7 linked regions of the Callithrix jacchus genome follow. The protein of the gene in region 6 purifies or fractionates together with the protein of the main gene of each other region. This does not show direct contact. Links are inferred from orthologs where the notes say so. Each region holds a gene or a part of one and is shown on either strand. Other genes may lie near its edges.

The links.
Region 1: the proteins of NAPA (region 6) and STX5 purify together in Homo sapiens (affinity purification with mass spectrometry; 3 studies listed by BioGRID and IntAct, with this or other methods). This does not show direct contact. The link is inferred for Callithrix jacchus from reciprocal best matches to the Homo sapiens genes NAPA and STX5.
Region 2: the proteins of NAPA (region 6) and BNIP1 purify together in Homo sapiens (affinity purification with mass spectrometry; 3 studies listed by BioGRID and IntAct, with this or other methods). This does not show direct contact. The link is inferred for Callithrix jacchus from reciprocal best matches to the Homo sapiens genes NAPA and BNIP1.
Region 3: the proteins of NAPA (region 6) and STX12 purify together in Homo sapiens (affinity purification with mass spectrometry; 4 studies listed by BioGRID and IntAct, counting the BioPlex papers as one, with this or other methods). This does not show direct contact. The link is inferred for Callithrix jacchus from reciprocal best matches to the Homo sapiens genes NAPA and STX12.
Region 4: the proteins of NAPA (region 6) and NAPG purify together in Homo sapiens (affinity purification with mass spectrometry; 3 studies listed by BioGRID and IntAct, counting the BioPlex papers as one, with this or other methods). This does not show direct contact. The link is inferred for Callithrix jacchus from reciprocal best matches to the Homo sapiens genes NAPA and NAPG.
Region 5: the proteins of NAPA (region 6) and SCFD1 purify together in Homo sapiens (affinity purification with mass spectrometry; 3 studies listed by BioGRID and IntAct, with this or other methods). This does not show direct contact. The link is inferred for Callithrix jacchus from reciprocal best matches to the Homo sapiens genes NAPA and SCFD1.
Region 7: the proteins of NAPA (region 6) and VPS45 purify together in Homo sapiens (affinity purification with mass spectrometry; 3 studies listed by BioGRID and IntAct, with this or other methods). This does not show direct contact. The link is inferred for Callithrix jacchus from reciprocal best matches to the Homo sapiens genes NAPA and VPS45.

The regions. Positions count from the first base shown.
Region 1 is NC_133511.1:120,104,655-120,108,571, forward strand, and holds part of STX5 (syntaxin-5), read right to left. Parts: intron 983-3,917; coding exon 866-982; intron 786-865; coding exon 729-785; intron 565-728; coding exon 483-564; intron 1-482. UniProt on the Homo sapiens protein: Mediates endoplasmic reticulum to Golgi transport.
Region 2 is NC_133503.1:65,504,855-65,509,472, forward strand, and holds the start of BNIP1 (vesicle transport protein SEC20), read left to right. Parts: upstream 1-1,427; 5' UTR 1,428-1,440; coding exon 1,441-1,524; intron 1,525-3,408; coding exon 3,409-3,501; intron 3,502-4,618. UniProt on the Homo sapiens protein: As part of a SNARE complex may be involved in endoplasmic reticulum membranes fusion and be required for the maintenance of endoplasmic reticulum organization. Also plays a role in apoptosis.
Region 3 is NC_133508.1:64,483,996-64,487,634, forward strand, and holds part of STX12 (syntaxin-12), read left to right. Parts: intron 1-1,504; coding exon 1,505-1,577; intron 1,578-2,690; coding exon 2,691-2,773; intron 2,774-3,639. UniProt on the Homo sapiens protein: SNARE promoting fusion of transport vesicles with target membranes. Together with SNARE STX6, promotes movement of vesicles from endosomes to the cell membrane, and may therefore function in the endocytic recycling pathway.
Region 4 is NC_133514.1:52,332,989-52,336,905, forward strand, and holds part of NAPG (gamma-soluble NSF attachment protein), read right to left. Parts: intron 2,670-3,917; coding exon 2,602-2,669; intron 713-2,601; coding exon 628-712; intron 1-627. UniProt on the Homo sapiens protein: Required for vesicular transport between the endoplasmic reticulum and the Golgi apparatus.
Region 5 is NC_133509.1:65,016,219-65,020,857, reverse strand, and holds the start of SCFD1 (sec1 family domain-containing protein 1), read right to left. Parts: upstream 2,973-4,639; 5' UTR 2,953-2,972; coding exon 2,886-2,952; intron 199-2,885; exon of another isoform or gene 173-198; intron 1-172. UniProt on the Homo sapiens protein: Plays a role in SNARE-pin assembly and Golgi-to-ER retrograde transport via its interaction with COG4. Involved in vesicular transport between the endoplasmic reticulum and the Golgi.
Region 6 is NC_133523.1:41,438,298-41,442,214, forward strand, and holds part of NAPA (alpha-soluble NSF attachment protein), read right to left. Parts: intron 3,744-3,917; coding exon 3,627-3,743; intron 1-3,626. UniProt on the Homo sapiens protein: Required for vesicular transport between the endoplasmic reticulum and the Golgi apparatus. Together with GNA12 promotes CDH5 localization to plasma membrane.
Region 7 is NC_133519.1:9,987,953-9,992,648, reverse strand, and holds the start of VPS45 (vacuolar protein sorting-associated protein 45), read right to left. Parts: upstream 2,955-4,696; 5' UTR 2,833-2,954; coding exon 2,740-2,832; intron 2,064-2,739; coding exon 1,929-2,063; intron 1-1,928. UniProt on the Homo sapiens protein: May play a role in vesicle-mediated protein trafficking from the Golgi stack through the trans-Golgi network.

The sequences.
Region 1 (3,917 bases), on a different chromosome or scaffold from region 6:
TCATTTTAACTCTCTGAGCCTCAGTTTTCTCACCTGTAAAATGGGGGATAATAATAGTTGCTTTCTCAAAGGGTGGTTGTGAAAATTAAATGAGAATGTGAATAAAGATAAGTGTACCAAACAATCAGAAATTATCATTCTTCTGGATATACCTACATTCACTCCAACAGTGAGAATGCAGGATCATGAATCTCAACCATCTGGTTCAGCCTAGCAATTTCCTTGACCCTCCACTCTCCTACCCAACACCTGCCTTTAGAAGATGCCATCACAAGCTGGGCACGGTGGCTCATGCCTGTAATCCTAACACTTTGGGAGGCTGAGGCAGGGGAATCACCTGAGGTCAGGAGTTCAATACCAGCCTGACCAATATGGTGAAACCCTGTCTTTATTAAAAAGAAAAAAAAAAAAGAAGAAGATGCCATCACAATCAGAGTAAGTAGCCTTACCTCCTGGGGCTTCCCATTTTACCTGTGACTTACCCAGGTGGTTAGGGGCAAGGGGCAGGGCTGACACAGGTGCCCGGGAGAACTGCTCTCTCCGGCTCCTCTGCTGCTTCAGGTTCTGGGATTGGGGAAAAATGCAAAGGACCTGAAGCCGCTAGAAAGCAGGCATGTTAAGGAGATTCCCACTGTTGGCCCATGACCCTGTAGGACTTGTCCCTTCCCCATTTCCCTCCTGGATCCTTACCCCCATATTCTTATCCCTCCTATGCAGATTGTTCTCACCTCTGTCCTCACTTCTAAAACCGATTTGAAGTCATTGGACATAGAAGCCAGTTTCGACTAGAAGAAAAGGAGAGAGGGTCAACCAAAGACTCCACATTCCTCCCCTTTCCCTCCCTCCCTTCCTCCCCAGGTCCCACCTGCAAGGACACCACAATGGTGTTGGAATGGGTCTGCAGGTGCCGGCCACTCTGGCTGCCCTTGGCCCTCACGAAATCTTGGAGCTGAGCAATCTGTTTGTTGAGGCTATTGATGTCCTGGTAAAAGAGCCCACGGAAAAATCAAGTATTAGCCAAGGAGTCCTCAGTCAGCTTCTCTCCCCATGGCCATCTCTGGTAGGAAGGGCAAGGTGGAAGTTACTAACTAAAGTGAGAATATCCCAGACAGTCAGACCAGATGGGCCTACTAGAATTTTCCAAAGTCTAGTATATGCTCTAGCTCAGTCCCTGCAGAGAAGAGCTAGAAAGAGGCAAAGAGGGCTTCATCTATTTGTAAATGACTTGTTTATTCCTCCAGCCTACTGCCCTGGCTCCACTCTGTGAGGCCATGCTCTTGGCTACAGAACTCTTTCAAAGGCCAAAATCTTGGGTCTAGAGCATAACCAACAAAGCACCTGGACAATCCTTAGGAAAAAGGAATAGCCAAAGGCACTGTAGTTTCCAGAGGCATCAACAGAATTGTTTTTATAGACATAATTCCTTGGTGGCTGACACCTGTAATACCAGCACTTTGGGAGGCTAAAGTGGGCAAATCATGAGGTCAAGAGATCGAGACCATCCTGGCCAACACAGTGAAACCCCGTCTCTACTAAAAATACAAAAAAATAGCTGGGTGTGATGGTGCACACCTGTATTCTCAGCTACTTGGGAGACTGAGGCAGCAGAATCACTTGAACCCAGAAGGCGGAGGTTGCAGTGAGCTGAGATTGTGCCACTGCACTCCAGCCTGGTGAGAGAGCGAGACTGTGTCTTAAATAAAAAAAAAGTGCCGGGCGCGGTGGCTCATGGGTATAATCCCAGCACTTTGGGAGGCCAAGGCGGGTGGATCACGAGGTCAAGAGATTGAGACCATCTTGGTCAACATGGTGAAACCCCGTCTCTACTAAAGATACAAAAAATTAGCTGGGCATGGTGGCGCGTGCCTGTAATCCCAGCTACTCGGGAGGCTGAGGCAGGAGAATTGCCTGAACTCAGGAGGTGGAGGTTGCGGTGAGCCAGGATTGTGCCATTGCACTCCAGCCTGGGTAACAAGAGTGAAACTACGTCTCAAAAAAAAAAAAAAAAAAACAACTTTTTATTGGCCGGTGCAGTGGCTCATGTCTGTAATCCCAGCACTTTGGGAGGCCAAGGCAGGCAGATCACGTGAGGTTAGGAGTTTGAGACCAGCCTGACCAACATGGAGAAACCCCGTCTCTACTGAAAATACAAAAATTAGCCAGGCATGGTGGCATGTGCCTGTAATCCCAGCTATTCAGGAGGGTAAGGCAGGAGAATCACTTGAACCCAAGAGGCAGAGGTTGCAATGAGCTGAGATGGTGCCACTGCACTCCAGCCTGGGCAACAGGAGTGAAACTCCATCTCATTCATTCATTCATTCTTTCATTTATTTATTTATTTTAAAAGAAAGGGTTTCACCATCTTGGTCCGGCTGGTCTTGAACTCCCGACCTCAGGTGATCTGCCCGCCTTGGCCTCCAAAGTGCTTGGATTACAGGCATGAGCCACCACGCCTGGCCAACTCCATCTCAAAATAAATACATTAATTAATTAAATTTAAAAATAAAAGTTGGCCAGGCATGGTGGCTTATGCCTATAATCCCAGCACTTTGGGAGGCTGAGGCGGGTGGATCACGAGGTCAAGAGATCGAGACCATCCTGGTCAACAAGGTGAAACCCCGTCTCTACTAAAAATATAAAAATTAGCTGGGCATGGTGGTGTGTGCCTGTAGTCCCAGGTACTCGGGAGGCTGAGGCAGGAGAATTGCTTGAACCCAGGAGGCGGAGGTTGCAGTGAGCCGAGATCGTGCCATTGCACTCCAATCTGGGTAACAACAGCAAAACTCCATCTCAAAAAATTAAAAAATTAAAAAAATAAAAATAAAAGTTATTATTACAGCTGAGTGCAGTGGCCCACACCTGTAATCCCAGTACTCTGGGAGGCTGAGGTGGGCAGATTACTTGAGGTCAGGAGTTTGAGACCAGCCTGGCCAACATGGTAAAACCCCATCTCTATCAAAGATTAAAAAATGAACCAGACATTGGTGGTGGGTGCCTGTAGTCCCAGTGACTAGGGAGGCAGGAGAATCACTTGAAGTCAGGAGGTGGAAGTTGCAGTGAGCCAAGATTGTGCCACTGCACTCTGGCCTGGGCAACAGAGGAAAACTTCGTTTCAAAAAATAAATAAATAATTTAAAAATAAAGTTAGCCAGTCGGGCGCAGTGGCTCACACCTGTAATCCCAGCACTCTGGGAGGGTGAGGCGGGCGGATCATGAGGTCAAGAGATCGAGACCACCCTGGCCAACATGGTGAAACTCCATCTCTACTAAAAATACAAAAAGTAGCCAGGTGTGGTGGCACGCCTGTGGTCTCAGCTACTTGGGAGACTGAGGCAGAAGAATCACTTGAACCCAGGAGGCGGAGGTTGTAGTGAGCCGAGACTGGGCCACTGCACTCCAGCCTGGTGACAGAGCAAGACTCCACCTCAAAAAAAAAATAAATACATAAATAAAGTTAGTCTTGGCTCTGAAAGAGTTGCTCCATAATGGCAGTGATTAAAAGAAAAAAATGAACCCTCACAAGAACCCTACGAGATAGGTACTGTTAATATTCCCTTCTTACTAATAAAGGAATTGAAGCTCAGAGTAATCAAGAGCTTCCCCAAGGACTCAACATAAGTGCTAGACCTGGGATATGAACTCAGGTCTGTCAATCCAGTAAGCTGGCTCTTAAATGCCTAGGCAATAACACCCCTAGTTAATGGAACCCTTTCTTTTCCATTAGTGCATCATCTCTTAGATGGGTCGGCCATCTGCCACAATGATCTTTGTCCCAGACAATCACACCAGCCTCCTCCCCAGTCTCTCTGCCCCATCCATATTCCAGGTCAGACTCCATTTGCAGCCCATGGCATTCAAGATGACTCCACATGCCTTAGCAAGGCCCATATGCTCTCTAGAACCAGCCACCAACCTAC
Region 2 (4,618 bases), on a different chromosome or scaffold from region 6:
ACACACGAGAAGAACTTAGGACAAAGTTCCTGGCGCATAAGAAGTGCTCCCAAAATGTTGGCTAGTAGTAGAATAATAGCAGCTAACGGGCGTTGAGATCTTACCACATGCCACATTAGCACACCGTGCTTGGTGCTTTTCATGTATTACTCAATCCTCCAACCTGTGAAGGTGCTATTGATTACCACCAGTTAGCCTCTGAGGACACAGGCACAGGCATGCAAAGTATGCTGTGGACAGGATTTGAGCTCTGGCAGATATGATTCCTGTGATACACTGCCTCTCCATTAGGTGCAGTGGGGTGATGAGTACCTTACGAGAGGGTGTGTAGAGGTCTGCAGGAACACACAAGCACAGAGCCCCGCTTACAAGTGGGGGCCATGTTGATTTTTTGGGGAAAAGATGGCTTTCAGTAGAGACTGTGACACTTTCAGGATGGGTAATCTTGGGGCAGGGTTGGTTGTTTTCTTTTGTTTTAATCTACTTTCAGCCCATCTCCTGATCTATAATACTAGTAGTACAATTTCAAGGATGGCTGTGAGGATTAAGAGATGAACATGCAGGTCCTAGGGCATTCAGCTCTTCACAAGCTATGCTTGCTGAAGTGACATGAACAAAAGCAGATGGAGGGGGGTCGAGTGGGGAAAAGCATTCTAGGAAAAGGGAACACCACATTCTAAGACTACATATCCAGAAAGCTTGAGGGATCCAAGAAGGGTGCCTGCAGGATGGGGTGGCTGGTGGCCGGGGTGGCTGATGGCCTTGAGAACCAGCTAAGAAAGTTGCATTATTTACCAACAAAAATAAAAGAGTCACGATTTGTTGAGGGTATACAAAAGAGAATCATCAGGAACCACAGAAAGGCTGCATACAGGGAGGTGACTTGATCAATTTCACGTTTTCCAAAGATCCCTAGAATCGTGTTGGAGTGCTAGGAGGAACTCTACCGACCTGCTTTGAACTCCATACTTTAAAAAGCATATAACGTTTATAATTTTCTCTTTTACTCCACAATTTATACTCACTGTAGAAAATATTAAAAATATAAGAAAATTTAAAGAAACAAAAAATTGTTACTTGTACTTTCCAGAGACATCCCAATTGATACTTTTCTTCCCATCTTTGTTTTTTCTATGCAAAAAATACGTAGTTATTAGAATGCCTGACAGAAGGAAGTTGGAAAGAGATCACTGTGAAGCGTTCTTGATATTCCCTCTTATCCTCCTCTCCATGTTAATAGGGTCTTACTAAGAGGAGAGGCTGATTTCCCTCCACGTGTCAGGTAAAGTTCCAACTGTTAAGCAGGGACCCTCGCTTGCCATTTTCGCCGGTCTCTAGGGGGGCGCTGCCCGCAGACTGGGTGGGGAGGGAAAAAGGCGGTGCGAAAACGCGTTTGAACTTGGACCCTGCCGCTGCCCGTAGCCGGCGTCCGTCCCCAACATGGCGGCTCTCCAAGATGTCCACGTCCGGATCTGTAACCAAGAGATAGTCAAATTTGACCTGGAGGTGAAGGCCCTTATTCAGGTATTGATCCCGGGACCCCTGCCGGGCTCCAGCAGCCCTGACCCAAGCTCTGCTGGTCTGTGAGCGCGGCAGTGTAACTGCGGAACTTTCCCCAATTGGTTTCTCAGGCCACTGGCTCCGCCCCATGGCCGGCTACCCCCTGTTCCCCATTTGGTCTTGTCCCCGTGACTGCTGGCCTTGATCCTCCTTACGAGTGCTGCTGGATCGCCCATTTCCAGAGCGCCCCACTGTTCGCCGCCTCTGACCCATGCTTCGCGGCTCGGCTTTACCCCTCCACCTGCTGCCCTAGTCGTCGCCTCGCCCGTGACCACCTCACAACATACCTGCCACCCTGCTTGGCCCCGCCTTCTGACATTTGCTTCCCCATCACCTAGTAGCGTCCGGGAGGCCGCTAGCCCCGCCCCCTGCCACCTGGCACGGGAGGCACCAAAGTAACCTGGGCCGTAGTTGTGATTTTATGCTTGAGGAAATCGAATATAGCGCCAAGGCCCAGGTTAGAAGGCAGATCTGGGTCAATGGCAAAACTGGGACCTGGACTGGGAAAGTCAGTCTAGGAAAAACACCTAGAGTGTTAATCTGTTTGTATGGATAGGAAATGAGATGCTTTGCCTTAAGCCATTTAAGGGTAGAGGTAAGATAAACGAGTTGATGTAGGCAAGAATTAGGAACGTAGACACGGTTCCATGAGTTTAGCAAAAAGAAACCAAGAGTTTTAAACTTTGGTTTAAAGCAAATAATTTTCAACGAAGTCACTAAACATTAGATGTAGACTCAGAATGAGTTTGTAACAAGGTGTGGCAAAAGTGCAGGAAAGTAGGGCTCCCCAGATAAACCAGATGCAGAATAAACCAAATTCGTAGTTTATCATACGGTGCAAAGAAGTGTGATTAAATGAGTAAGCCAGAGAAAAATTGAAATTTGATGGAGATACTTAAAACTTATTGAACTTCACTTCTCTGACATGTACATTACAGAACTTCTGGGTCAGTTATAGAAAAATAAACAAGTTTCATACAAATGAAATTGCATTTTCTCTTAATCTAAATTGCTTAAGCACCCTTCTGTACCCTTTCTAACATTTGGGTTCTTGTGATTCCTGATAAGAAAGATTCATTATAGCTGGATGTATTATTGCACTCTTACTGTGTTCCATTGCTCTGCTAAGTGCTTTACATGCATGTATGATCTATGATCTGTGAGATAAGTAGTGTTGCAATGAGGGGGAGAATTTAAACTGAGACAGAATTTAAATAACTTTTCCAAGTAACTTTACACAACTAATAAGTTGCTTCAGCCAGGATTAGAATCCACATGGTCTGTCTCCAGAACCTGCTCTGAAACCTGGCACCAGCTGTTGCTGAATCTGTTGCTGAATGTCCAGGAACAGATTCTAAATCTGCCCTTAAACATGTCTGTATAAACACTCTGACTTATCACTGATGGTTTGTCAAATCACAATGAAGAAGTTAATCTCATCATATGATGCCAGATATTTAAGCATCCTGATCTTCAAGTTGGAAGGATCTCAGATTCTGAAGTTAATAGTATTGCTTTTGCATGTCCATTCTTGTTGGGCATACAAGCTGTTTTAAGCTTTTTCATACTGGCCACATAAGATTTTATTAAAATTTAGGAACTAAAAATTAGGTCAAAGCAATTGTGTTTCTTTCTAGGCTTTTATAGTAATTTTAACATTAAAGAGGAATGAGAAAAATGTAAATGATAATATTTTTGCCCATGTTGCAGAGGTAAACAGCAAAGATCAGGACGAATTACAGTCAGTACGTTAATATCAGTTGGTCTAAACCAACTCTAACTTTATGGATGGTGTCATTTCATTTCACTGCCTTGAGAAAGGCCTCTTATCTGTTCAATGTCTCCTAGGATATCCGTGATTGTTCAGGACCCTTAAGTACTCTTACTGAACTGAACACTAAAGTAAAAGAGAAATTTCAACAGTTGCGTCACAGAATACAGGTGGGTATTCTAAGAACTGAGATGCTGAGTATCTCAGTTCAGCCAATGAAGGGGCTCAGTCCTGGGTATATCCTCTGCTTGAAGCTGTCTGGGTTCTTCAAACACCAGCTAATGGGAGTAGTAAACACTTCGACAGTAAGAGGGACTCTGTACTAACCTGCTTTCCAGGTAAAAATGAGAAACTTTTGCATGCAGAACACTGCCAGCTGTGTCAATGAGTGGCAGTTTTTTTTAGGTGAAGTCTCGCTCTGTTGCCCAGGCTGGAGTGCAGTGGCATGATCTCAGCTCAGCACAACCTCCACCTCCCATGTTCAAGCGATTCTCCTGCCACAGCCTCCCAAGTAGCTTGGACCACAGGTGTGTGCCACCATGCCTGGCTAATTTTTGTAATTTTGTAGAAATGGGTTTTCAGGTTTTCACTATGTTGGCCCGGCTGGTCTCGAACTCCTCATCTCGTGATCTGCCCGCCTCAGCCTGGGTTTACAGGCATGAGCTACTGCACCTGGCTAATCTTGTTTTTTTTAAAATAGAGATGGAGTCTCATTATGTTGCTTGGGCTTCTTAAACTCCTGGGCTCAAGCAATCCTGCTTTGGCTTTTGAAAGGGCTGGAATTCCAGGCATGAGCCCAGCCTATTCTGTTTCTTTCAGACAGAATTTGGATCCAGGTTCTAATTGTTTCCAAGTTCAGGATCTAGATCAGAATCAGAAGGTAAAGACTACTGTTTCATGGGTCCGGGGCCTGCTGAGAAAAAGACAGGAAACAGGTTATGGACCTGACTATGAAGGGCTCAAGTTTTAAAGCCCCCATCTCGGTACCCGAGGATCCTGCATGTAGCTCATGGGTAAAGGGGCCTACAGTGGTCCCTCAAAGTGTATAGGAATGGCCCAGGCCCAGGGCCGGAACTCAGGAGTTGGAAGGATGACTATGTCTACACACCTAAAATGATGTGTTCATCTGTATCCTGGAATCCTGTGTAGGCCTTCTCCATGAGGACAGGGCCAGGGTTGGCTCCTTGGATTCTAGTTAGCCTCATGAGTAGTCCTGCAAACTTGTCATTATCTGGAAACATTTCTGCCAGCTCCTCTTCATGCCCTTCTACTTGAGACACTAGGCAG
Region 3 (3,639 bases), on a different chromosome or scaffold from region 6:
TTCAAAAAAAAAAAAAAATACCCCAACAACTTATAAACCCAATAACTACCGCACAGCTTCAACATGTCTTAGAACAAAATTCCCAAAACATCAAGAGACCTATATACAAATTAAGTTAAAAAAAGATTCCATAATGAAATCTACAGTTCAAAAAAAAAAAAAAGGAAAGGAGGGAAATGAAAGAGAAAGAAACAAGGAAGGGAGGGAAAGAAAAGAGAGAGGAAGGGAGGGAGGGAAAGAAGGGGAAAGGAAAAGAAAGAAAAAGGGTGAGAGAAAGAGGCCAGGCACGGTGGCCCACACCTATAATCCTAGCACTTTGGGCGGCCCAGGCGGGTGGATCACAAGGTCAGGAGTTCGAGACCAGCCTGGCCAACATGGTGAAACCCCATCTGTACTACAGATACAAAAATTAGCTGGGTGGCCAGGTGCAGTGGCTCACTCCTATAATCCTAACACTTTAGGAGGCCGAGGTGGGTAAATCAAGAGGTCAGGAGATCGAGACCATCCTGGCCAACATGGTGAAACCCTGTCTCTACTAAAATTACAAAAATTAGCTGGTGTGGTGGCACATTCCTGTAATCCCAGCTGTTCAGGAGGCTGAGGCAGGTGAATTGTTTGAATCCAGGAGGCAGAGGTTGCAGTGAGATGAGATTGTGCTACTGCACTCCAGCCTGGGCAACAGAGCGAGACTCTCAAAAAAAAAAAAAGAGAGAGAGAGAAAGAGGGAGGGAGGGAAAGGAAGGAAAGAAAGAGAGAGAGGAGAGGGAAGGGAGGGAGGGAGGGAGGGAGGGAAAGACCCAAATATAGGGGATTTTGCCAATGTTCAGTTCTTCCACTGCTGTTAGGAAAACAAGCTGCAGTTCAGCCCACCAAGCTGATTTATTTTTACCTTCTTTGATCAGAGCAGCAAACAGGATGTAGTCCATTCTCCTTGGAACTCCTATCCACAAACCATCAGATTTTGTCCATCAGTTGGGAGTTCCTATAGGGCATTGTCCAGTGATGATAGAATCCAGCAATTCCTCACATAGTTCCAGAGTCAATCCCAGGGGAAAAGAGGCTCCTTACTTGTCGCTCCTCCTTGCATTCCTCAGATAGCATGATCCTGTGTAAACATTTAAATTCTGCAGTACACAGTCCCAGTGGTTGTCGTAGAGAGGTACTCACTGGCCTTTGTCACAAAAGGCCTAGCAGCCTCCACATAGGGCTATGACACCAGGAATTTGTCTATATCAGTACTCTAGCCTTCTGCTGTACTGTTTGACTTGGGGAATCTTACTGGTTCCCATGTAGCATGTCCAGTTAAAGTTGCTTAAAGGGTAAGGTTATGTGCCTCAGTTTTACAATACTGGGTAGGCAGCAATAGATTATTTTCTGTTTATGGAGAAAGCTTGCTTTATATAGCCTTAAAAACACATGTGTTAATAGCTAAACTTTAGGTACGTGAAGGAAACAAATCTTCTAACATGTTACTTAATGTTAATTGTTTTTTTGTCTTCCTTAGGCTGACATTTTGGATGTCAATCAGATATTTAAAGATTTGGCCATGATGATCCATGACCAAGGTGATCTGATTGGTATGTATTATTGAAAGCTTTAACCTCAAGGTGAGTTGATAGTATTTGGCATGCACGTGCAATCCCAGCTACGCAGGAGGCTGAGGCTCAAGCATCACCTAGGAGTTTGAGGCCAACGTGGGCAACATAATGAGAATCTGTCTATTAAAAAAAAGTAAGAAAAGGAGTTAGTCATATCAGCTATAGAATTAAAGTGAGTTTAGGAATGCCACTTTAAAAATTACCAAATTTATTTTTCTTGGCAATTTCCTTATGTTATCAAATGTAGAAATTAAAGTGAGGTTTTGGGAATATTCAGTCCCATTGACTTGTTTCTTTGTAAGTCTTTGTTTAGAGAAATAGCTGTCAGCTTCCCAGCTTTTATCTCTACAAACTTGCAAAATTATGGGGTAACTCTATTTTTAAAGCTTTTTAAAAAGCTTTCTACATGGAAATAATTTCAAATTTATTAAAAGTTGCAAAAATAGGCTGGGCATGGTCACTCACACCTATAATCCCAGCGCTTTGGGAGGCTAAGGCAGGAGGATCACTTGAAGCCAGGAGTTCAAGACTAGCCTGGGCAATATCGTGAGACCCTGTCTTTACAAAAAAATTAGCCAGCCATAGTAACATTCACCTGTACTCCTAGCTACTCAGAAGGCTGAGGTGGGAAGATCACTTGAGTCCACGAGTTTGAAGCTATATAGTGAGCTATGATTGTGCCACTACACTGTAGCCTAGGTGATAGAGTGAGATCCTAGCTCTTAAAAAAAAAAAAAAAGTAGCAAAAATAAAAATATTACAAGGACCTTCTTTATACCCTTTACCCAGATTTACCTCCTGTTAACATTCTATCCCATTTGCTTTATTATGTATTCTTTCTCTGTCTATGAGTATATACATAATTTTTTCTGAATCATTTATGGGTGAGTTAAATAATTCCTAGCCCCCAAAAATTTGATGTTTTTTTCCCAACGAATAGGGCTAGTCTCTTATCAAGGTAGTAACTTGATTTCATGGTGGATAGTTTGGATGGTGGTAGTGAAACTAGACCCATAACATCAGAAATCTGTTCAATTTGCAGTCTTGAAACATCTGAATGTGTTAAAACATCCTCTGTCCTTCCTTTTGCAGATAGCATAGAAGCCAATGTGGAAAGCTCAGAGGTACATGTTGAAAGAGCCACTGAACAGTTACAGCGAGCTGCTTATTATCAGGTAAAAGTGGATACCAAAGAAAATCATTCTGTGTTTTAGACTTTTTAGGTTATCAGAGTACGTTGACATTATTGAGAACAGCTACAGGCTTTTGCTTATATTTACCTAAAGGAAAGTAGTCATAATTGCAGTCCCAGTTCCATTTTTAGTATTTTTCTTTGCAGATAGATCTACAAAAAATAATCAAACCCTGAATAAACCTACCAGAAGCCTCTTAACTGCAAAGCTAACCCTATAAACTAGCATGAGGCTGGGTGTGGTGGCCAACGCCTATAATCCCAGCACTTTGGGAGGCCAAGGTGGGCGAATTATGAGGTCAGGAGTTCAAGACCACCCTGACCAACATGGCGAAACCCCATCTCTACTAAAAATACAAAAAATTGGCTGGGCGTGGTGGCGCACATTCTTGAACCCAGGAGGCGGAGGTTGTTGCAGCAAGCCAAGATCCCGCCATTGCACTGCAGCCTGGGCAACAGAGCAAGACTCCATCTCAAAAAATTTTTTAAAAATAAACTAGCATGATACCTAAATATGGCATAAGGCTATTTTATGTCCTGAACAGCTGAATGTGTTTCACTTAGGATAGTAAGAAGTTAAAGTAGAAGACTTCATAGATATTTATGTTGACTGTTGCCATAGAGGATGGACATAGCAACTTTGACTGCTATTTATATATGAATAAATAGGAGTAATTATTCTGGAACTGTTCCTGTGATGTGAACTCCTTCTTTGTATTAGTTGAAACTCTGGTTTTTTGACTTACCCAGATCTTTATCTCAGCCTACAAATAATGTAAATGGAGTCCTTCTCATCTCCCTTCAATTTGTTGTTGCATGGCTTTTTAGAAATAAATCGCTTTTCAGCTA
Region 4 (3,917 bases), on a different chromosome or scaffold from region 6:
CAGTTAACTAAATCACTGACCCAGGTGGTTCCAAAAGACAAATCCTACAACCAAGTAAAGAAGAAATAATTCAAAGCCTGTTGATATAGTTTAAAACTATATAATTCTCCAAAACACTGACATAACACAAATTTTAAACTATTTCTATTATGCAATTCACTGAAGTGCAAAGTTATTATGACTACACTTTGCAAATAAGAGAAACATTTTTTATCAGAAAGTTTTCAAATGCCTACTATAATTCTTATTTCAAATACCTGAGGAAAAAACTGTATTTTTAAAAAACTGATACAGTAGTTTATGCGTTTTCAATACCTGTCCTACTTCTTCATTCTTCAGCATGACTACAGATTTCCCTTACGTCATCACAAGTAAAACATCATCAAGTAAAACTATAAACAACAGAAACTAAGTTCTCAAATGTAGCTCTTCGAACCAGTGTGGACCTTATGATGAAACTTCACTATAAACGCTCCTTTACAGTTTAAAAATACACAATTTTTCTAATCATTTTCTAATTTAAAAACATTTTACTTCACAGGTAGTAAAGCAAATTTATAGCAAGAGAAAACAGCTTGTCAAAATCATCTAATTGTTTAATTTCTTTTTAAAGGTTGAAAAAGATACGCCCTATTATTTTCATGGGCAACAGCTTCCCTCAGGCAGGCATCTTTTGCTTGCTCAAACTGTTTGGCATTTTTAAAAGCAACAGCTGAAAAAGAAAAAAAAAAAACTGACTCTCTATTTCCATCACTGAAAAACCTCAAATGAATCATTACTAAAATCTGCATTGTATATGAAGTATTACAGACACACATTTCAAATACTTAGGAAGTTTCCAAAAACTATAAAATATTACTTTTTTCTAAAGCAATTTCCTTACAACTTTTCCAATTATCAGTAACTTAGGAGTATTTTTAAGTTTTTCTTTTTTAATTGTTGACTACTGGCAACGAATCAGTTACTTCAATTAGAAATCAGTAAGTCTTTCTAACTCCAACACTCCCTAACACTCTCCAGTGACAGGTAGATTCTTTAGTCACAAAAGACAGCACCTTACTTCACTACTTTTACATTTAATAATAAAACAGAACTTTAGGTATAGGTCATTGAATTATGTAGAAACTGAAGGCCAATAAGCACATTAAATAGTTTTTTTATAATAAACCTTCCTTTGGTATAATCTTTAAATGTCTAACAATGCATTTAAAAAAAATCTTTTATACTGTTTACTGTCTATAAAAAATATCTCACTGTTTAAACAGCTAAAGTATACTGCGAGCTGTTTTAAAAGTGTAATCATCAAAGCAAAACAGGAATGCTTATAAAATATAATCTTAAAATTTTGGAAAACTTTTCAAGGGCTGCTTACAAAGAAGCAAAAAGCATAATGCTTTAAGAAAAGTGTTATCTGTTAAAAACACTCTTAAAATTCTCTTTAATAAGATGTGAAAACCAAATACTGAACGATTCTCCTCCCTGCTTTTCTATCTGTTGCTTTTTTAAAAATTTATTCTGATTAAATAGATTTTTCATAAGCCCTTAAAGAAAATAAACAAAGAATGCTTCAATGGAAAAATCTGATCTAAAACATTTATTTTTGAATGTAGTTAATGTTCTCAGAGGGCTATAAAACAAATGTGTGTTAAATTTCCCTCACAGTGGAAACCTGCAAAACGTTGTTCCCTTCTGTTACAGAAGCCTCCTTGCAGAAGTAGTCCATAAAATTCACACAAAGTTGGAACTTTTAATAATTTTAAAGTATGAGATATAAACAGTTTGCATGATGCAAAAAAAAAAAAAACCAGAATTTACTCTGATTTAAATAAAAGTACTGAAGACTCATTTGCTGTTTATCCAAAAGCACTAGCCCTAGATGATCTCTATGCTAGGCTAACACATGTGATCAGGGTTATCGCTGAAATACAGCTGACAATGTGTTCAAGGTACTTCAAAATTTTGTTTTATTTTATTTATATTCCAAGTCATCACAGATATGCTGAAAGCTATCATTCTATAATTTAGAATGCTAAATTTTTAGTAAAATTCCCTTTCTGTTGCATATTTTAGATTGTTTATATCTTACATACAAATAAAATGATTAAAATACATATATAGCTTAACACTTCATGAACAATGAACAAATACACTCAAAGTGAGGTTCATAAAGGATAAAAGTACCAAGCAAACATCATCTGTAGATCTGCTTAAGATGAGGATAAATTAACAAAACAATTTAACAAACTCTTTATTCAACAGAAAGTATAATCGAGAAATATGGCAAAATTCATGGATACAGTATACAAATAACTAGAGTTGAAAAATATATAAGCAATGCTAAAAACCCACTGCTGTATATCACCAACCTCGCCCCATCCCTGCTGTCATAAACAACAGGTACCAAGATCTCTGACTCAGCTCTCAACACATCTGAAAATAACAAGAGGAGAAACACTCAAGGGTTTGCACAGTTGTTCTGTTTGTTTTTTTAACTATTAAAGCCTTGTAGAAAGCACATGAGTAAGCATTACGGTGAAATGAAGTTATCAGACTATATTTTAAGATTACATACTAGAGCAACTGGACTATAGTAAAAAATACCTGCTTTTCCATATTCAGAAGCGGCACTGTCATAATCTGGCTTCCATTTTAAAAAACCAGTTTTCAGGCTAGAATGAAAAAAAAACACAGTTAACAGAAGTTACCAACCACATTTATAAGTCAGATACCTGCTTCTAGGTTAAAAAAAAACAAAACAGGAGGAGCCATCAGGCACAAACTCTTTGTGTCACCCTCCTCCACCCAAACTTACGCCTCACAAATACAACCTCAGCTCTTTCTCTCCCACTGTCACAGGTATGTGGTTTTCCTCCTAGAGGTTCTCAATTCATGGTCCCCAGACCAGCAGCATCAGCACTGCCTGGGAACTTACTAAAAATGTAAATTACTGACCCCATCCCAAGCCTACAGAACCTCTGAGGTTTAACAAGCCCGAAGGTTCATTAAAGCTTACGAACATCTGAAGTATGGTAATGACAGCAGAGGGGATTCATGAAACTGAAGTGCGACGAGAGGCTAGAGACATAAATGGAGGTGTCATAAGCAAATGTCAAGAGCATAGATGAGATCCCCTAGTGAGAATGCATAGAGAGAACAGAAACACTAAGGAATACAATCATTCAGTGGAATGACAGAGGGAGTAGGCACAAAAGCCAAGAGACACTGCTTTCCAGGACCACTACTGGCTTCTTAAGACGCCAAATCAAAGGCCAGTTTTTTAAATCCTTATCTTACTTGCCTTTCTTTTCCTCAATATTTTATTTCTTTTTCTTACTTTAAAATAATTTCACACTTGGTTTAAACTAATTCAGTAACTGTCAAATTTGAGTGTGCATAAGAATTGCCCAAACCATCTTAAATTCTAAATTTCATTCCATTAGGGAAGGCCTGCTTGGATAGAATGCTGCTTGCTTCAAATGAATCAGGGCAGTACCTTAACTGAAAGATGGAAAATCTGAATTAGCCCTCAGAAGTATAGCCTTCCTTCTGTGACAGCCATGTGAACTGCCAAAAGTCGTAGCCTTTTTTTTTTTCTTGTGATAGGGTCTCACTTGGTTGCCCAGGCTGGAGTGCAGTGGTGTGATCTCGGCTCACTGCAACCTCTGCTTCTCGGGTTCAAGTGACTCTCGTGCCTCAGCCTCCTGAGTGTCTAGGATTACAGGTTTGTGCCACCACACTCAGCTAATTTTTGTATTTTTAGCAGAGAAGACGTTTCACCATGTTGGTCAGTCTGGTCTTAGACTCCTGGCCTCAAGTGATGTACCTGCCTAGGCCTCCCAAAATGCTAGATTACTGGCATGAGCTACTCACTGAGCCCAGTTAGCCACAGCTTTTAAGTAACATTTTTTGCCAATTAA
Region 5 (4,639 bases), on a different chromosome or scaffold from region 6:
ACTTGGTTAAAGTAGTTACACTTTTACCTGGAATGTTTTCTTCACTCATGCACTGAACAAATACTGTATATTACGCTTACTATTCATTCATTCAACACGTTTAGTGATTGCTCACCATAGGCACTGTAGTTATTGGGGATCTAGCAACTGAACAAAACGTGAATAAAATTACCTGTTCTCACGTAGCTTTCATTCTAACTGCGGAATAAAGAAAGAAAAAGTAAAACATACGGTATGTAGATGATGATAAGTGCTATGAAGAAAGGTAAGACTGGGAAAGGGGAAGACGGAGTTGGGGTATTAAACAGGGTAATCAAGGAAGGTCTCCTGAGAAGGTAACATTCGAGTAAAGAGCTAAAGGAAGTGAGGGAGCAAGCCATGGAGATTATCTCTGTAGCAGTATTCCAGAAAGAAGAAACAAATACAAAGGCTTGAAGGTGGGAACATTCCTGGTGGGTTCAAGGAAAGCGAAAGGTAATAGGGAGTGAGGTCCAAATATGTGGGAACCAGATTGTATAAGGCCTTGAAGAAGGCTGTAAGACCACTTTGGTTTTTATCATGGTTGAAATGGGAAGATGATAGATTTTGAGCAAACATATGGCATGATCAGTTTGTGGAAAATAATTAAGGAAACAGGACTGGAAAGCAAGAAGACCAAATAGGTTACTGCAGAAATTCACAGTGGATAGGACCCAGGAATAGCAATGACAACAGTCAGATCCTGGATATATTTTCAGAGTAGAACTGACAAGATTTACTGGAAGATCTGACATGAGCAATATGAAAGAGACAAGTCAAGAAAACTTCAAGGTTTTTGACCTGAACAACTATAAGGATGGAATTGCCATTCATTGATATGGAGTAGACTGAGTTCAGATGGGAGGGCCAGACTAGAGATATAAACTTGGGAATCACCAACATACAGATAATACTGAAAGCTAAGGAGCTAGATGCTAACAGTACTGGGATCTTGCAATGGGTGGCGGGGGCAGAGAAGATGAGCAAAAACCTATAATGAGGAGGCATTTAATGAAGAACAACAGTAACACAAAGCAGGAAGCAACTGTTTACACCTGTTGAACTGAAGGTATGGATAGAGAAGGCAGTGAACCAGGAAGAAAGGAGATGGCTTGTGGGATGACCTTCAAAAGATCAATAAAGATTCTTCGGGCAGTCAAAGCAAGAAACAGACATGTTAGTTTACCTCTATCATACTTTCCTCACCTGTAAAATGGAGATAATACATAATCACCTAAAACAATGCCTAAAAATAGTAAATGCTCAATAAATACCAACTATTATCTCATCCACCCAAATATTCTGGTATCTAGAATATTTGAGGATTGTGAGTTACTTTCCAAAACATTCTCAATATGAATGAGGAAAATAGCTAATTCTGCATTATAATACATATACAAGGATTTACCTTCCTCTGAAAATGAGACAGAATTCAATGACAGTAAAAATTTGATTAAAAAAAACAGATCTAGCACAATTTATCTAATTATTCTGTAAAATATTATGTTTATTTCTGCAGAAATACAAATTATCAGATTTAAATGATCTACAAAGTTTCTGCATACAAGTTTACTGCCATGCAAATTTATTTTTCAGAAAGCTCCCTTATATTAGTACAATTTCACTGACATGTTATTTTAACATGTAGTATAGTCATAAGAATCACAGTGTTAAGACACATGGAGCACATGGAGCTTCTATTTGCTTACACCGATAAAGTGAATGGCAGGTATTCCCCGAATCTTATTTGAACTTCCCTATATTTAGTTATGCCTGACTTCGCCGGATAGGTTATACTAAATTATCTACTGGGAAAAGCAGAACGCAACTCAATATTCTTTGTATCATTACTAGGTTGAAGTCTATCATTTTTTCTGTAAATGCCAAAGGAAGGAATCAAGTATAGCCCAAATCCTTTCTATACGTCATAGGAATTATAGTTATTTTCCTATTCATATTTCTATCATAAGAGCATAATTTCAGGAAACAGAATTCCAAGTATGCACATTCTTGATGCCTTATTTCTATCAGCTTCTCAATAAATGGCTTGAAAACTTTCAAGACAATTAGTTAACAAGCATAAACCTTTAGTTTGTAGCTAACAGGTATGAACCAAGTTGTCATGAGTTTTCAAATAAGGCAAAACTAATTTCTAAGATGGAAACCCCTCCCAAACTCACGAGAATATGTTCCTTTTTACATTTCTCTGCCTAAATGGAAGCTATATAAACACGCTCTATTGAAGACAAATTATTTTGAAACAATAATCTGTCAAACAATTAAAATGAGAAAGCTATTTATTAATTTGTTTTGCCATTCTTCCATTCCTTCCAGCAAGCTGAAGGAGGAAATCTTTATCACCGGGCATTTTTCTGCAGTACCCTCAAAAGATTGTTCCAAAGTAAAGTGGCGCAAAGCAAGCCGCTGTGAAAATACCTAAAATCTGTAATTGTGGTGGAGGTGCCAGAAAATGGGAGTTCTCTCAAAAATCAAAACTAAAACTGAACCACGCACAGAAACCAACGCGGAGACCTTATAGGTGGCAAAATAGAGAAGAAGGTATCAACTGCTAGATCTTGTGATGGCCTTCGGATGCCCACCAGGAAAAAGAAAAAAGCAGGCCGTATCCACCGCACACCGCTGAAGCTCCTTTTCCTGCACCACAGGAGGAACCGAGTCCTCAAGCTAATGGCATCTTCTCCCCAAAAATTCAAAGGGGAGGAGCTTTTGATGTTCTAGGGACTGGACTGAACTCTGAGAGATCGGTCTCTGAGCTGCACGCACCACGACCGAGTGAGGGCGACAAGCAGAAAAGGATATCTTCGTGGCAGTCACGAAGCTTCAAGGGGAAGAGAATAATTCAGTACCTGTCTGCCTTTCCCGAATACTGGCTAAGGCCGCTGAGGCCGCCGCCGCCACCGCCGCCGTCGCCATCTTGGCTCCCACGAGCCACTGCCCGGCAAGCTTGCGGAGCCGGGGGATGACGTGGCTGCCCTTATCGCCCCGGAAGCAAAGCGCGGAGAGGCGGGGCCAAAGGAGGTGCCTGTGGGCCAGACCCCACCTCCTCCAGGAAGACCCTCGCTCTCGGTAGAACTGGGAGACCCAGTGTAGGTTAATGCCTTGGTAGCCCGTAATATTAGCAGAAGACTAAGAATTTTTATCCTATCAAATCAAGCCACATTTTCTCAAATCGTAGCTACATTAAACTGAGCTCTGAGCACTTAAGGGGTGATAATACTCCAGGAGATGAGGACCACAGGACTGAAGTAAATGAAAACTCCCGAAACACAGGCAACATGTCAGTCTTAGCTCTCGTTTCTCAGTGCAGCAGGAGTGCTCCATTTGCTTTTCCGGAGAAACGGAGCATTACTCTAATCTGGCATATTTCTCAATCGCATCTCTTTTTTTTTGAGACAGAGTGCTCTTGTTACCCAGGCTGGAGTGCGATGGCGCGATCTCGGCTCACCGCAACCTCCGCCTCCTGGGTTCAGGCAATTCTCCTGCCTCAGCCTCCCGAGTAGCTGGGACTACAGGCGCGCGCCACCATGCCCAGCTAATTTTTGTATTTTTAGTAGAGACGGGGTTTCACCATAATCGCATCTCTTAAAATAAAATGGCATAGCTTTATGGTGGCGTTCTGCTGGCATGGACACGGGACGCAGGGAAGTACAAAATGAGCAATTAGCAGTTTTCCTCTTTCCCGTGGAAAATCACAAAACATTACCGTGGGAGGGAAGTCAGGCTGTAGTGGGGGGTGTGCTGCCAAGGCTGGAATGCGCAATCAGGACTCACTGCAGCCTCAGATTCCGAGGCTCCAACAATCCTCCTGCTTCAGCCTCCCAAGTAGCCAGAAACTGCAGGGGCACATCATCAGGCCAGGCTTATGTGCTGGTTTTTTGTTGTTTTGAGGCAGTGTCTCATTCTGTCGCTCAGGCTTAAGTGCGGTGGCAGAATCTTGGTTCACTGTAGCCTCGACCTACAGAATTGAGAAGATCCTCCCAAGGTATCCTTCCACATCAGCGTCCCCAGTAGTTGGGACTACAGGCAGGGGCCACCACGCCTGGCCAAATTTTTCATTTTTTGTAGCGTTTCACCATGTTGGCCTGGCTGGTCTTGTGCTGGCGGCTTAATGTACACTTGAAGCCACGTGATGGCAAAATGTATGGGATAGATGATTTCTAACTTAATCCATACATTTTACTGTATGTTAAGAATGGATACACAATGACAGCTGATTTCCCATATGGTTTCAATAGTTCATTGATGACACTTCATTATGAAGTTGCATCAAATTCTGAAATGAAATCAGACTGCCTCAAAAACTTTCCAAAATTACATAAATGAAGTTAGCCAAACGATTATTTAAGATTGTTTTATAGTGTAAAACATTGGCTTTTTTCATTAATAAAAACTTTTTGTGTCATTTAAAATAGGTTATCTTTAATGCTATTAGGAAGTGTCCTAGCATTGAACCTACAGCCTTTAAGAATTATGTAATTCAGTGGCTCACGCCTGTAATACCAGCACTTTGGGAGGTGGAGGGAGGCAGATCACCTGAGGTCAGGAGTTCAAGACCATGGTGAAACTTAAGTCTACTAAATAATCAAAATGAACCAAGCAT
Region 6 (3,917 bases):
GGCTGCTCTCACTCCACAGTGAGACCCACAGCTGCCACGTGGGCCTGCTGGCAGTGGCTGTGGAGCGCCCACCGTCAGCATGGCTCAGCCCTTGCAGTAGCAGCAGGGAGACAGCTTATCCCCGGCAGCAACATGGACTCACAGGGCTAAGTCCCCTCCACGCCTGGAAAGCAGCAGTCTGCCAGAGACACCCGGGCCAGCTGGCTCCTGGACAAGCTGCTGACACACACGACTGCTGCTCTTATCTCGGGTCACCAGACCTTGGGCATCCCGAGAGGCGGAGCAACACCCAGCTCCATGACCCGGCCCTCCTCCACCCACCCACAGAGGGCTGGAAAGGGGCTTGGCGCAATCCAGCCCAAGTGGGGGAGCTGCAGCCCAGGCCAGCCCCATCCCCACAGACACTGCACCAGCAATGCCCAGCTTGACTTCTGCCTCTCTCAAGTTCCCCCCGTCACACCTGGCTGTCTCCTCCTCAGTAAAATGGGGGCAAATCACAGAATTGCACAAATAAATCAAATGGGTTCAAAGATGCCAAGCATCTGGCACACAGTAGGAACCCAGTAAACGGCAGCTAGGGAGGAAGTGGGGGACAAGCAGGGGCCAGGCCCCTTCCCTGCCCCAGGTACACACACTGGCCCCAGCCCCAGCTATCAGGCAGACCCCGGTAGAGGCGTCCCTGGCCCGAGTCTGCCCTGAGCAGCAGTGGTGGTTGGGTAATTGAGGAACCAATGACACATATGGGCATCACCCTTCCCCACCCAGAGCCATCAAGGAGGCAGCAGGCCACCTCTCTGCAGAAGGAGAAGATGATAGAAGCCCAGCCGGGCCTCAGGAACACTCCAGCTGCCACTTGGGGTGGGGTGGGGGGGTCCTTTGGAGGGACTACTGGAGGAAGTGCTGACCCTGGACAGAGGCCTTCTAGGCTGCTGAGGAGACCAGTGATAAGGAGGGCTCCAGAAGTCAGTCACCTGCTTGGGGAAGCCAGGCGAGGTTCCAAATCGGGCCTTCAGCATTGCCTCACAACGCACTGGCCAAGGGCAGAGACCGTGGGGGCCCAGGGTAGGCAGAGGTCCCTGGACTGATGACAGCCAAGGGTATCCTGACTGGCAGTTTATCACACGCCAGGTGCCGCGCTAGGCATGACTGCCTCACCTCACAGTAGTCTCTGCATTAACAGATGAGGAAACAGAGGCCCAAAAGACTGACTTGCCCAAGACCACAGGGGAGGCAGGTCCTCCGAGACCACCCACCTCGTGTGCTGCTGAGCCACGCACAGCTGCTAGATGACATTCTTTGTGAGGCATTTTTTTGAGATAGGATCTCACTATGTTGTCCCGGCTGGTCTTGAACTCCTGGATTCCTTCTCAGCCTCCCAAAGCACTGAAATTCTAGGCATGAGCCACGTGCCTGGCCTTCTGTGAGGACTGACTGGCCTCAGACACAAAGCAGCTGCTGCCCTTCATGCCAATGTGCCCTGGGGCATGCATCTTTAGGCTATAGGTCTGGACGCTGTCCCTCCCTGCTCAGCACCACGCCCCTAGGGCTCCGGACATGGAACCTGCTCTCAGCTCTACCCAGGGGAGGTTCTCCTGTCAGAACTGCTCCTTTTCTTCCCCAAGAGCTCTCCCCCAGCCAAGCTCACCCGCTCCTCGCCTCAGGTCTGCGCAAGTTGGCCTCTGTGCCCCGATGCGGCATCGTCTTTACACTTTCCTACCCGCTGGAGTCCTTAGCCACCCTCTGAGCTTCCTAATTCCAGAGAAGGGCCACACCCAGACTCCCGGCCCACACACTGTAGAGAGGGCTAGAAAAGCTCAGATCAAATGCAGGGGAGGAAGCTCACCACATCCCACTGGCAGGCAGAGCCTGCTGCAGGAAGGGAGGGGCCTGCTGAAAGAGCAAAGGCGCTCACTGTTCCACAGCCTGGTGCTCAGCGCTGCCCCAGAGCAAGTCCTTCCAGTCACTCCAGATGGGGCAGCAGCTGAACGGCACAGATGCTAAGACAGCGCCTCTAGGCCAGCCAGTTTCCTGGGGAGCAGAAGGAAAGGCTTGGCAGGGCAGCTTAATGGAAGACACGGAGACTCCCCGGGTAAGTCAAGCTTACAACCAACCCAGGGTCTCCCGGGGTCGTCACTGCATCATCCATGCAGCCTGCTGTGGCCCAGTGCTGCCAGCCAGGTCAGCTCTATAGCCCACCCAGTTACAAGGCTGCTCCTCAGCCTCTTGCCAGGCCTCAGCCCCACCGTGTGATCACTGAGGCCAATTCGTGAGATGCCCAGCTGGTGGGGAACCACTGGCCAGTCTAAGGACAGAGAAGAGCTACTGGTCAACACACAAATCCATCCTTGTCTGGAAACTCACACCCCAGACCACGACAAAGGGGTATGCACACAGTTCCCCAACACGGCGTGTGAACCGGGGCTTACTGATCCGTGGAGAAAACTCCCTGCACTGCTGTAAACCCATCTTCTCTTGGAAAGGATAGGCCTTTATTCCAAGATTACATGGCTCCTTTTCGTTATTGTGATTATGATTATTATTATCAGCATTATTTGAGCGACGGGGGTCTCACTATATTGCCCAGGCTGGAGTGCAGTAGCTATTCACAGGCGCGATCCCACTACTGATCAGCACAGGAGTTTTGACCTGCTCTGTTTCCGACCTGGGCTGGTTGACCCCTGCTCCTTAGGCAACCTGGTGGTCCCCCGCTCCTGGGAGGTCACCATATTGATGCTGAAATTAGTGCGGACACCCGAACTGCACAGCACACTAAAGCCCAGAACTCCTGGGCTCAAGCAATCCTCCCACCTCAGCCTCCCGAGTAGCTGGGTCTACAGACATGCGCCACCCTTTTGATTACTGCCCGACACTTTTGATTATTTTTAAAGATTCATATATTTTCCATTCTCCTGAGAGGACAGTGACAGTATACAGTCATTTTTACAAACTGCCTGTGCTTGCTAATTAGCAACCTGTACCCACCAAGATTTTAAAAATACATTAAAATTCCCGCCCCAGGCAATCACTGGGCTGTGTTTCCTCTTCAGGAGGCACCCTGGGGGACAAACACTGTTTTCTCACCATGAGTCAGCCCCAAACTGGGCTTCTGTCCCTAACACACTCTCATTTTAAGTAACTTGTTCTCTGGCAACGACATCTCGGGCTCTGTTCTCTCTACTTCTTCCCCAGGATGTAGGGAAGCCAGGTTGGGCTAATTTCCGCTCCTTTTTCGGCAGCGACTCCTACCTGGCTGGTCTCAGAACTCCCCCCGCTCCCTTCTGCGTGTTAATTCTGACAACAGAACAGATTTTCCTCTCTCCCCGGCAGGCGGTGGGTCTGCAATGGAACTCCCACTCCCGAATGCTCTGGGCGTGGGGAGGGGCAATCAGCTGCACCCACACAGTAGCTGGGGGGGCGGAGACTTCAGCCGCGCGGGAATGCCAACCGGAAGGAAGGGAGCCAGTTCTGAAGTCAGCGCTCTGCTCTGCCTCAGGTGCGTCTCTGCCAGCCTATCACATGTCGGCCACTGGAAAAAACCAGAGCCACCAGGAAACCCGAGGACCCGATGCAGGGTGCTATGATGGCCCTCCGGGCAGCCAGCCCATGTGGCCCGTGGAGGCCCTCACCTTGGGGGTCAGCTTTCTTGAACGCGTTGCCGGCATCCACAAAGCAGGTGGCTGCGTCGTGCTTGCTCTGGAGCTGCAGGTGCAGCTGCGCGGCCTGGCAGAAAGCGTTTCCAGCAGCTGGAACAGAAGAGAAGGGTGGTCCCGGCCTCAGGGGGGGCTCCACAATTTATGAGGCCACAGAGACACGGCCCTGGGAGGTAGGTCGGGCTCTTGAGAATGCAGAAAGAGCCCCCAAGAGAGGACGAGGCTGACTTGAGCGAGCCCTTACTGAGGCCTAGATGTCACGTCTGC
Region 7 (4,696 bases), on a different chromosome or scaffold from region 6:
CCCCTAAACGTATTTCATTTAGTAATTTGTTTTTAAAATCACATTTATTTACAGAATTTTTAAAAATGTAAGCAACGTACACTGCTTATTAATGGGAAAAAGGTTTTACAAACTGTTTAGATTTAAAAATGCACTCAAATTAACTTTATAATATAATCTTAAAGCAAAACATTTTAATAAATCTTTTAAACCAAAAATCACTTCTTCACAATATGCTAGGCAAAAATAACAAAGTGAATTAAAAGATTCCTAAAAGTTCAGAACATGTGGAAAAAGGCAAAAGATAACAGAATATATAAAATGAAAAAAAGAAAAAGGAAGAATTGTTAAAAGAGTTTGAGAGACAATACATAGCAGTGAGTTTCTCTAATAAAAAACGTTAGGAAATAACGAACAAGATGATCTCTAAGATCCCTCTTGAACCAAATTTTCATGACTAAGTGCTATAAATATGAAACAATTGGAAACTATTATAACATAGCATGTATTCATGAATTCGGCAACTATTTATTGAGTGTCCACTGTGTGGCAAGCATTGGGAATACAGGATGAGAAGAAACAGATATTGTGTCTGTATTCATGGAGCTTACTGCTGGTAATCACGCACACCATACAAAAGTTCAAACCATGACAAGCAATAGGGAGATAAAGATGGTGTTGTAAGTGCATATAAGAGGCAGGTTTGACCTGGTCGGCAAAACCAGGAAAGCTTTACTTGAGGAAGTGAAGTTCACAGCAGAGGAAGAGGCCTATGCAAAGGTCCTGCGGCATGACGGAACAAGGGGAATATAGCGGATTGAAAGATTAGGGGGGCTAAGGTGCAGAGTTCAAAAGTGAAATGGTTCAAAATGAGGCTGGAGAAATGGCAGAAACTAGACCATGCTGCACCTCGCGGCCTACAATTAAGGAGTTTTGTCCTTATCATAAAAGCAATGAGAGGTCATTCAAGAATTTCAAGCGGAAGTGTCATGATCAAATTTGCATTTCAGAAAGCACATAATGTACAAGCATGGTAAAATGCATTAGAGTTGAAGAACATGAATATGAAACAAGAAAGTATAAAAAATAAGATGAAAATAAGAAAGAATTTTAATTTTTAATTTTCTAAATTTTATTTTATTATTTTTTTTAAAGATGGGGTTTCACCATGTTGGTCAGGCTGGTCTTGAACTCCCGACCTCAGGTGATCCACCCACCTTGGCCTCCAAAGTGCTTGGATTACAGGCGTGAGCCACCGCGCCCGGCCTAGGAAAGGATTTTCAAAGGAGAGACTCAAGCTAGATTTAGAAGGTGATGGACAAAAACTGACAAATGACCAAAGAACTTTTAATTAGTGAAAGAAGAAAAACAAATAGGGAACAGGAATGAGCATGTAGAATGGCTCATTCCAATGGCAGCCTAGCTGGCTATAGAGGAGAAGCAGATCTAGGACATAGGAAGGCTGGATACAAATGTGCAGCTCAACTAAAGAAGGGCTTTAACTGCTGGCTAAATAAAGATTTAATCATGGAAGTAACACTGAGTCATTACAGGTTCCTGAGCGTAAATGTGAATAAAGTGGTAAAGATTCAAGACATTCATAGCTGTACATAAAATGAAGTGTTGATGGTGTTCAATGTGACAGATACAGAGGTTAATCCAGGAATGAAGCCATGTGGTCTCTGTTGAGAGTAGCTCTTTAGTGGCAATGGGAATAGCTGTGAACCTAAAAGATATCTTGAAGGAAGAACTGGCTGTAAGGGGTCAACTGAAATATGGAAACAAAACGAGAAGAAGGTTATAACACTGATGATCCAGGATAGTTATGATGCCACCGATAATGATAATTACAAATCATGATAATACAAATTTATTTTGCCGTCTTAATGCTTTCAGATCAGAGTGTTCTGCATCTGCCTGGGCAGATGGCAGCCCAGTTTATGCAGTACCTTTGTAGGTCGAAGAAAACAAATTGCCTTCAGGTGTTTCATGATCTCTCGATTTTGAGAATCAATGCGTTCAAAGAGGTACACTTCTTTCTGAAGAATCTCCGACTGTGTGTACACCATACTCACTATGCCAGTCTGTAAAAACAAAGAATTAACTAAAAGTATGCTAGTCTAGAATAATAAAAACAAGTAGCATATCTAGCCTCTTTTTTCATTAATACTTAGCTGGATAAATTAAATAGTAATATATGGAATAACATTTACTGAACATCCAAACAGGTAGGTAACATACGAGAATGAAAAATATACTCTATCCTTTCAGCTGAAGCTTCAAGGTTAAAAAAAAAAAAAAAAATCCTCTCTTTTAACAGGAACAATCCATACATTTCCAAAAATAATTTTTTCTATCACCTTAACGAGTTTTGTTTTCTGGTCTTGGCCCACAAATAACCTGTCATTTCAGCTTGAGCTCCAACAGCTTTACTTTAAAACACAATGTTGAGTGGAAACAGTGGGCCCATCCCAAAGTCTTCCAAGTGCTCTGACATATTCATGATTTCTTTTCAGAGGCTTTTAGAAAAAGATTTCTGATTCCAATAAATTGTTCCGGGTAGAAGTAGTCTCTGGGCAGTGGCTGGAGCCATTTAGACTGAAAATCCATCGTACAAGCTTTATACAACTTTTCAGTCCCACACAAACTGACCCCATTTTCATATCTTTACATTAAATGCTAAATCCTACAGTGGAATGAGACCAGCCTTTGTAAGGTTGAGAGGGTTCCTTCACAAATGCTGAGCAAAAGCAAACTCACCGTCTCTTTATCCATGAGAAGTACTTTCATACCAGGCCCGCTGTCCTCTATCATTTTGGAAATGTACTGCTTCACAGCAAAAACCACGTTCATGGTGGCGAATTGACAGGTGTCCCAGAGCCCTTCCCGCCCCCTTTTCTGGCTAAATTAACCCCCCGGTTTGTTGGCGGGGTCTCAGCTGCTTCCTCCCTGCAGGGCTTGGCTTCCGGGAGTCCGGGCAACCACGGTGCTGGGAGTTGTAGTTCCGCTGGAGAGTACGGGGGACCAAGCCTACCCCGGAGATGGAAAAATCTGGCTGAGACGCCCTGGGCCGCCGCCACGCGGGGGCGCTATTCTACACCCGCATGTAGAGGTGTCTGTGGCCGGGACTCTAGACCCGGTTTGGCCTTTGGTCCCGGAGGCCCAGCCGCAGCCTGAAGCCCAGGAGAGTGGAGCCTCGCAAAATGAGGAAGCTGGCACAAAGCTTGTTTGGAAGCAGGAACGACGGATCGGGGCCATGGTCACTATCTGCGATTAACGCTTTCTTGCGTGGTAGCGAGAGATGAGGGCAAGGGAGGTGGCCTAATGCTCCCGGCCATTTGGGACTCAGAGAGAAGGCATTTAATAAACCACGCGCGGTATTTGCGCAGCAGTGGTCGAGATTCGTCTTCCTGGCTTCACCGGGTCATTAATAAGGCGGGAACAGTGCCTCTGTGTTGGGGCTGCAGAGGCCTGAATTGGTTTTCCCAAGACAGAGGGCATATGAAATTGAACAAATGTTTGTTGAATGAACAAAGGGAACGCCTTTTACGGATGTTTTGGGGAAGAGGACTGCGGTTCCAGCTAGGGTCGGCCTTGGGGGCCCGCAGCCTGCAGGACCACCGGACCTGCGAGTGTCTCTCTCTGCCCTGCCCCCGACTCAGCATCCTGAGCAATTGAACTCTGCCAGCTCCAACTCGCGCGCTGAAACTGCAGGCAAGAGCCGAGTTGCCTGGGTCCTTTGAAATGGGTAGGGAACACGTATCCCGTAGAGCTAAAACAAAGTAGCGTGGGGATTCGAAGCAAAAACTCTCAAGTTTTTATTGAATCTTGAAACCATCAACTTGGAAGGTCTGCATTTGTGTTTACACCACACAGATCTCCCCCTATGAAAAAGAGAATAGATGTTTGGTTTTTGCCCCTTTACTTTGGGGAATTGTAAAATCAGGAAGATGAGAAACAAGTGCTAGAAATCAGTAACTATAAATGCTTATGAATAGTTTCACCAAAATAATGACAGAGTTTGTGGTCAATAGATTCAGCGTTACCAAATAAATTCTTTATATTGTAAGAAATACACGATTAAAATAACCAATAGCACTTTAGCATTAATGTGCTTGAGATTATGCAACATTATATACAATTTTCAAATCCCTTAAGGAAGATCGGAACCACTGAAATATAAGAGATTTTTGTCACCTCTGAAACTGTGAAGAATGTGTTTTGTTTTGTTTTTCAATTTTTCTACCAAGTAAATAAAGCTTCCCTTTAGGCATTTTCTAATTTTTAGATGTGTTTTGAATGAAACATCTTGTTATATATTAAAGTCAAAATGTGAATATTTAAATGGATACAAATAAGAAAAACTAGTGTTATACGCAAATTTCATTCTTACCAATTTAAATGTTCATATCTTACAGAAAACATAGAAACAATGCTAATGAAAATCCTGTAAATTTCTGATATTTGAAAATCCACCACCAATCTCCCATGTCACTTAGTTTTTATTTTTCTTATCTATAATGTGGACTGCAGTATAGAAAATTTTTTCCCATGTTCTGCTTATTTTAAGAAAGACGGAGATAAAGACTTGTGCATGAAATGAGTGCCTCTTTAGACAGCAATCTGTAAGCAATAGATGGAAAGAATCTGCATCCTTTTGATGATTTATACTTGCACACAGAACTTTTTGAGGGAGGAAGAAAATGCCTACTTGACA